Oryzias latipes: one gene and its partner. The protein of the gene in region 2 purifies or fractionates together with the protein of the main gene of each other region. This does not show direct contact. Links are inferred from orthologs where the notes say so. Each region holds a gene or a part of one and is shown on either strand. Other genes may lie near its edges. The genes, in order: sart3 and ppih.

Region 1 (4,555 bases), on a different chromosome or scaffold from region 2:
AGAAATTAGATAATTTCTTCATAGTTCTTTTAAAATGACCTTCCCACATTTGATACAATCCGACCAAAAATAGAGGCCAAAGTGTAATTGTCCAGGTCATAAAACAAAAATCACAGCTGCAAAATAGCATCATGTGGCGCATGAGTCCTCCAAAAAGGGTGTGATGCTCTCGATATTTCTGTGAAGGATTTTTTTCTTCAGATCAAGGATATCTCTTTCACCAGGATGAACGTGGAAAAGAATTAACTGCTGGCTTTGGCGTGTTCCTCTTTCTTGTCCTGTTTGATTTTGTAGTCTGAGAGCGCTGCTTTTATGGCATCTTCTGCAAGCACTGAAAAGGAAAAAGTGAAAGGACACGGCACAAATTTAATGCAATAACAGCAGGAATTCCGATTTTGATGATTGTTTCTCTATTTATTTTGTAACACTAAGAGTAAATAACGAATAACACTCATATAAAAGATCTATTTACAATGTAACATGCAGTTTTGCTGAAATGGGGTTAAATATGAAATTAATTTAGTGGATTTGGAGAACTCAGGAAGTTGTACTTTTTTCTCCTCCTTTGTGTTGTCCAAAAACAAGTGTCCACACAAAAAAATAATTTTAATACAAATAAATCCTAAAACAGGCAATCAGTTGTGTCACACTTTGTGTAATGTGATTTCAATGCAGCAATTGTGTGTATTCTACCATTAAATGTATCATCTACAAGGCAGGCAGCTCGAATAGGAAAATCAAACTTACTGGAACAATGAAGCTTGACTGGAGGGAGGCACAGTTCTTTGGCAATGTCTGAATTTTTAATCTTCATAGCTTCATCCAGCTACAGGATTTTAAAAAGTATGTTATTATGATCCTTAGATAAAACAAACAAACTTTTCGGAGCCTTTTTTCGTAACTCACCGACTTCCCCTTCACCCACTCTGTTGCTAGGGAGCTGGAGGCTATAGCCGACCCACAGCCGAATGTTTTAAACTTTGCATCCACTATTTTTCCATTTTCATCAACTTGAATCTAGGATCAATATTAAAGTAAATTAATAATGTATAAAAATCTGAAATATAACGTGTTTGGCCAAATTCAAGCTTACCTGGAGTTTCATTACGTCACCACAGGCTGGTGCACCTACCAAACCTGTCCCCACACTTTTGGAGTTTTTGTCCAAAGATCCCACGTTTCTCGGGTTTTCATAATGGTCAACCACCTTCGAAAAAAATTAAAAATATATATAATACGGGGTAGGTTACAGAGACACAAATAGCATGTCGCATGCATTAGCTTGTTCAGTTCAGCCACACCAACTACCGTTTTCGCAAAACTGGCAACTTTGTTTAAAATAAAAGCCGTGTATTTGTGCATTCAATGTTTTACCTTTTTGTGGTATGAGCAAAGTGACTTTAACTCCGGTCTAAATAGCCTGCTGCAAAACAAGGAAGGCAAGGACGCACAGTTTCGTACACTGATCATCGCCATGTTCACATTGCCGATTGTGAACGATGAATGCCGAGTGAACACGAGAGGTGCCGAACGCTGTTTGCTGATAAACATGGTGGACTTCGTGTTAACATGTCGAAAAAGCTCCATCTAGCGGTTGAAGTGGTAATTGCCAAACTTGCTTCTTTTTTTATGTGGCTCAGTGTTTTATTGAACCAGTCACCGTCAGTGTCACTGGCATGGAGACACACTTTTGTCCCGCTCATATTTTTGTAGTTATCCCCGTTCCAATTGCTCCCAATGACCGCAACTGTAAATTGTTTCTTAAGTTAGTTTGTCCACTCACGCACTCCGTAATCCTAATATTTTGAGGCACGAGCATAGCGTGAACGCGCACGTCTTTCACCGTTGGGACGGGGCGGGTTTTCAATAAGAATTGGCTGCTCAGGCTGCTGTTGCCAGGCAGACAGTATTTCCAACATGGCAGCGCCAGCTAACGCAGAACAAACGCAGTTGCAAGATATGGAGGAGGACGGAGCAAAGGTGGAAGAGAGGGAGATGGATTCAGACGAAGAGGAGGACGAAGAGGGCATGCGTGTCGAAAACTCAGACGAAGAAGAGGACGATTCTTCGGAAGACGAAAAAGAAAATGAAGCCGAAATCCAGCGGTTGGAAGAACAGGTATTGACATCATCAAGCAGTCATGCTTTAGCCGAGGTGCTAATATCAATGAATGAATCGCAAAGCCTATACCAAGAAGCAGTTATAAAACGACTCACTCATCAGCATAGTTAACTCTTCTTGACAAATAAATAAATATCATTTTTGTTAGCGAATCACACATGAAACGTTTACGATGTTTATATGGCAATCCTGCTCATTCCTGCTAACTGGTTAAGCTAGCAGTTATCGCGCCTTTTTATCCTTTCGGGATATTGTCATCATTACTCTTCTTGACTTTTAAAGAACAAACTGAGGGGTAGCCTGCACTGTATTCTGTACATTTGTCCTGTTTAGTATATAGTGAAAATAATGTTTATATTGTGCTAAGGAAAGGGTTAAATGATTCCTTTATCTGTACCCACTTAAGATTGCTTACTTAGACTGCACAGTTTGTAGTGTTTACTTTGTCTTTAGCTGTGTCCAAGACGGTCTTTGGGTTTATAACCTTTGACCTTTTGCTTATAATAAGGAGAACTTGGCTCATGTGTTTTTTTTTCTTTTAATACACAATAAAGAGGAATTAATTGGTAAACATTTGACAGCAAAGTTTTGACCGCTTGCTATTGGAGTCTTGCTTTATTTTTTTCTCTTTACAGTACTATGCAATAATAAGGTTACATAGCTTATAGAAGCTGCCTTATATTTTGATAATGTATTGCTACCAAATAATATTTTTTTCTGTGCTCATCCTCAGCTGTCTATCAACGCCTTCGACTACAACTGCCACGTGGATCTCATCAAACTGCTGAAACAAGAGGGAGAACTTATCCGTCTGCGAAAAGCAAGACAGAAGATGAGCGAACTTTTCCCTCTTACTGAAGGTTAGGTTATGTCTAACGCAGTTCCAGCACAGACAGAATACTAGCACTGCATTGTTTGTGACAGATATGTAAACGCCTCCTTTTTTGTTTCAAATTCTGCAGAAATCTGGCTGGACTGGCTCAAAGATGAGATTCGTCTGACAGAAGAAGAGTCAAACAGAGAAAAAGTCTATGAGTTGTTTGAAAGAGCCATCAAAGACTACATCTGTCAGTGCACCATGTTATTGTCATTTCCTTTAATCCAATGTTCAGTTATTAGATTGCCTTAATGTCTTTTGTTTTTTTTAACACAGGTCCAGAAATTTGGCTTGAATATGCCCAGTACTCAATTGGGGGTATGGGCTCACCAGGTGGGATAGACAAGGTGAGATCCATCTTTGAGAGGGCAGTGACAGCTGTGGGGCTTCACATGACAAAAGGACAGTCAGTGTGGGAGGCATACAGAGAGTTTGAGAACGCCATTCTGTCCACATTGCAGGTTTGTGTTTACTTTTTTTTTTGTCTCTTCAGACTCAAAATCTGGGTTTAAATTTCAAAGATGCTTTACTTAAAGATAAAAAAGTCTGCATCTTTAAACAAACAACTATAGTGTTTGACAGATTGGGCCAAATTTCATCTTTTTTTGTTTTGTAATCTTCTGTCAGCCTCCCCCTGGCAAAGTTCCCAGGAATGAGGAACAGGAGCTGATAAAAACCCAGCTTGAAAGAATTCACACACTGTTTCGCCGTCAGCTGGCCATCCCCTTAATGGGTAAGCAGCCAGATAAAATTCAAAATCTGAATCAGTGTTGCTATTTAAGTGTACCTTTTTTAGATGTCACCAGATTAAAATAGTTCTAATCTGTAAACCTTTGGACTTGTGTGCTTTTGTAGACATGGAAGCTACTTATGCAGAGTATGAAGAGTGGTCTGAGCATGGAGTGCCTGAGGCCGTCGCGCATCAGTACAAAAAAGCGTTGCAGCAGATGGAGAAGTGCAAACCCCTTGAAGAGGCTCTGGTAGCTGACCTGCACACATTTGGTTTTGAATCTGTCTTGAGCGACTTTTTTCTAGTTGTTAACATCTTCTTGCATCCGTCTGCTGCAGCTGGTGGCCGAACCTCCTAAACTGGCTGAATATCAGGCCTACATTGACTTTGAATTGAAGGTGGGGGACCCAGCACGGATCCAGATTACCTTTGAAAGAGCTCTGGCAGAGAACTGCTTGGTTCCAGACATGTGGTCTAAATGCACCAAGTATCTTGTGAGTATTGATTATTGTTCAGTCTATAAAGAATGAAATTTTTGCTATGTATTTGTTTTAGTTCAGCTGCCTGTTTCTGTTTATTTAGCATTTTAGTAAATTGGCCAATTAAGAAAGAAAAATGAAAACATAATTAAAAAAAAAGTGTTGCTTAGATTTTTGTCTTTTATTTTTGATCTTTTAGGATCGCCAGCTGAAGGTTAAAGACTTGGTTCTGTCCACTCATGAGCGGGCTGTTAGGAACTGCCCCTGGACCATGAGTCTGTGGAAGAGCTACCTGCTGGCTTTAGAGAGGCATGGAGCAGACCATCACACTGTGTCAGGTACCAGTTT
Region 2 (3,816 bases):
TCCTCTGCAGTAACTATGTTCTAGAAACAATAGACGTTTTTTGATTTGATTGTTATTTGAGTTTAGGAACAAGAAACATGGAAAACACAAAAGCAAATTTTTTTCCAATAAAAAAATTGGAATCAAAACTATTAGAAAATATGGCTTGTTAAAAAATACTAAAAAATGTTTCTTTTGCATAAATTTACATATTTTAAATGCACACTTAAAGCAATGTAATCTAACTTTTGTGGAATGACCAACAACATGTAAAAATATGGAGGGGAAAATGCAACATTTTTAGTAAAAAAAACAATTTTATTTGTTCCTCATGATAACAGTGTGGGAGCCAACAATTATTGTCTAAGGACCGAGAAGAAAATTTAGAAAATGTTTACACTTTGGATGCTACAAGAACTAAATCATGGAGTTTAAGATGACGTTTACCAGAACTTCTTCAAACAAATTACATTTCTCCACATTGAGCGATGAGGATTGGGAGTTTTGGCTTGTTGTTGGGTCCTGTGGGAACATTCTGTTTGAAGAAAGAAGAACATTTCAGAATAACCAGATTAATAACAGATTGAATTTGCAGCCCATTTTCCCAAACCTTTCAGGTTTTATACTCAAAACACGGTTAAAGATCATAAGTTTTGGTACCAGGGGGGAAAAAAAATCAATAGAAATACTAAAACATCCCCTGTGACCTGCAAACTTACTTTAAAATAAAGATAGTCAGACCTGCCTCTGAGATTTTAACCATTTTTTGTTACAATCAAGTCAAGAAAAATTCTATTTAAGAAATAAGTTCTAAAAGGATCAAACAGTAGTTACGAAATTAAAGTCCAAATTTCTAATTTCTTTTATTTGTCTTAAGGTTTTAAAGAATTATTAACTGTTACTTATTTCTGACTCCAGGAAAATTTCCTGCTTTCTCTGTTTTAAAATGCTTGATTTAAAAAAAAAAACATACATTAGGTTTTAGTATAAGATAAATATAACTTCAAAACAACAGCTTTTTTCCCTTACGTGTACATTATTATAACACATTATCACATCTTTTATGTTTATGAGGAGATTTGCAAACATACAGCTCTCTTAAGGATTAACCATATCATTTCAATTGGATTTAAATTCAGATTAGACCTGTACAAACTTTTAAATCTGATTCCCCCCCCCCTAATAATTATGTTCTGGGGTTTTTGGGCTATATTGACATAAATTTCTTGCTTTACTTGGCCCCCACTTTTAATTAAGTTTTAGTTTATGACCATCACAACGGTTTTAAGATGTTAAGGGTTATTAGCTGGAAATTCTACCCAACAACAGTATCCCACCACCTCCTTACGGGGTAACCAAAGATCTTTTAGCAGGAACCCTTCAATTTTTTTTCTATACACTTTGCTGGAAACAAAGCCCAGCTGCCCAACTTTGTTCCCTTTTGGTTGTTAAACATTTTAAACATAGTCAATAAAGGTTCATCTTTACCTCAATTTTTCTCATGATCAGCAAACCATCCACCACTTTTCCTGAAACAGAAACAAATTTAAGAATTTTAATCACACACAGAAGAAGAAAACAAAAAGCGCTCTTATCTTAATAACGACTTATTTACCAAAAACAACATGTTTCCCATCTAACCAGTCACATTTCGTGCAGGTTAGGAAGAACTGGCAACCATTTGTCCCAGGACCACTGTTAGCCTGTGAGAGAAGTGAATAGTAAAAATAAAAACAAAACAAAAAATGTTTCAATCCAGTCGAATCTGATGTCATGTATAATAACAAGACATCCAAAATATTCACAGGGCAACCTCTTTGCCTGATGAAGATGTCTCACTCTGTAAATGTGAATTCCTTTGCAAACCTACCATAGAAAGAAGACCAGGAGCAGAGTGCTTGTGCTTGAAGTTTTCATCTGCAAAAGGTCCTCTGTAGATACTGCAGACGCCGGTTCCATCCCCCTGCAGAACAACTATTCTCAGCAGAGCTCTTGAGATGTAATTCAGCTTTCAACCACAAGAGGGAGAAAGCTTTCCTTTCCTGCCATCATTAGATTTCAGAGCAACATTTAATTGGTTATGTCCTGAACATAGCTTAATGATGAGGAAAAGAGAAGCTACTCAAACTGAGATGTTTCAGTTCACATTTTTGGTTAGTTCTGCATCTAGATCTGGTTTTGAATTTCTATTTCTTGCACATATGATGCTTAACCTTTGTGTTGTGTTTTCATTCTCCTGCATGAGTTTATGATTTATTGTAATACAAGACATAAAAAAACCTGTCTTTTATTTTGCATTTATAAACTACAACATCAGCCTGTATTTAATGGTACTAGTTCACCTGTAAAAGTCATCTGTAAGTTTTATGAGTATTTTAAATTGGGTTTATTTCAGAAGTGTTGTATACCTGCAAGAGTTAGACAGGGTGTGTCTGCATTGAAAAATCAAGATCTATTAAAAAACAGGCTAATGACAGAAGAAAAAGCTTCAACAGTTGAATGACGTCCAAACCTCAAAGAGATTAAACACTCGAACGCCAGCAAACACACAAACGCCAGCAAACACACAAATGATTAACATGATCTAACTTTTACTTTTGTCCAGCCTAAGAGAGATGTCGAGACGTTAGCGTACTTACATTGACAAAGTCTCCTCCTTGTATCATGAAGTCCTTGATGACTCTGCCATGGGACAAAGGTTGAGGGGGGGGGGGGGGGGGGGGTCAATAGAAATATAAAAACATTCGCTGTGACCTGCAAACTTACTTAAAACTAAAGATAGTCAGACCTGATATTTGAAACATTTTTTGTTACAATCCAGTCAAGAAAAATTCTATTTGAGAAATAAATTGTAAAATTATAGGCACGACATTAGACAGAAACGTACACTGAAGATCTACGCACACAACTGTTGATCCGTCTTAGCCTTTGAGTCACAAAAGTTAGCTTTCAAAGCTATAAAGACAAAGCACTTTGTTTCTGTGTACGGTGCAAGTCTTTCTAATTAGTTGTGGTATTTTTCTATTTTTTTTGTCTCATCACAGTTGCCTTGATGTCGGCAGTGGAAAGAAACTAAGCTTTTCTTTGTGATTCTTGAAGTGCATCCCATCTTATCCTCTCTTATCCATTTTAACTGCTGAGTCCCAACTAAAAGAGAGCCTCCAGTGCTGGCAGGTTTCTATCTCCTGGACTGATCTCAGACACTAAACTGGTCCCCATTTTCTTTTACGATCAAGTCAAACACGGGCCGTCTGGGTGACTTAAAACAATCCTCCTTTTTTGGTTTAGACTTGGTGATTTAGATAGAATTTGGTTAGATAAACCTGACAAGAAATGTTATTACTTTAAACTTGAATCAGAATTTGGTTGTTCTTCCCACAGTTTTAAGCCTTCTACTACACAGCTGTTTTCTACAATCCTACAAAATCCCCGACTCTGTGTTAAGCGCACCTTGAAGATTTGATGCTGATTTGGAGGGAAAAAGTACCAACACCAATTTGATTTGGACTTTTCTATTGCTCACTGATTTAACATTTTTTAAATTTATGGAAATAAACAATTATTATTTACACATCTGAAAGCATGCTTAGTTCACTGCCTTTTTTCCCTCCTGCCAAATATTGTTTTTGCACTGAATATGAAAAGGTCCACCTTTTGCAACTATTACAGTTTCAACTCTTCTGGGAAAGCTGTCCACAAGGTTAAGTAAGGAGTGTGTTTGACCATTCTTCCAAAAGTGCATTGATGAGGTCACACACTAATGTTGTTCTATCGGGTTCAGGTCAGGACTCTGTACAGGCCAGTAAAAGTCTTCCACAACAGACTCTGTCATCCATG

The links.
Region 1: the proteins of ppih (region 2) and sart3 purify together in Homo sapiens (affinity purification with mass spectrometry; 3 studies listed by BioGRID and IntAct, with this or other methods). This does not show direct contact. The link is inferred for Oryzias latipes from reciprocal best matches to the Homo sapiens genes PPIH and SART3.

The regions. Positions count from the first base shown.
Region 1 is NC_019867.2:12,885,857-12,890,411, reverse strand, and holds the start of sart3 (squamous cell carcinoma antigen recognized by T-cells 3), read left to right. Parts: upstream 1-1,678; 5' UTR 1,679-1,917; coding exon 1,918-2,118; intron 2,119-2,854; coding exon 2,855-2,981; intron 2,982-3,083; coding exon 3,084-3,188; intron 3,189-3,274; coding exon 3,275-3,459; intron 3,460-3,625; coding exon 3,626-3,731; intron 3,732-3,853; coding exon 3,854-3,978; intron 3,979-4,066; coding exon 4,067-4,222; intron 4,223-4,406; coding exon 4,407-4,545; intron 4,546-4,555. Other genes in the region: iscu (iron-sulfur cluster assembly enzyme ISCU, mitochondrial), read right to left, coding at 243-331, 748-826, 907-1,017, 1,094-1,207, 1,375-1,476. UniProt on the Homo sapiens protein: U6 snRNP-binding protein that functions as a recycling factor of the splicing machinery. Promotes the initial reassembly of U4 and U6 snRNPs following their ejection from the spliceosome during its maturation.
Region 2 is NC_019865.2:7,790,799-7,794,614, reverse strand, and holds the end of ppih (peptidyl-prolyl cis-trans isomerase H), read right to left. Parts: intron 2,662-3,816; coding exon 2,619-2,661; intron 1,943-2,618; coding exon 1,850-1,942; intron 1,683-1,849; coding exon 1,595-1,682; intron 1,509-1,594; coding exon 1,468-1,508; intron 515-1,467; coding exon 446-514; 3' UTR 277-445; downstream 1-276. UniProt on the Homo sapiens protein: PPIase that catalyzes the cis-trans isomerization of proline imidic peptide bonds in oligopeptides and may therefore assist protein folding. Participates in pre-mRNA splicing.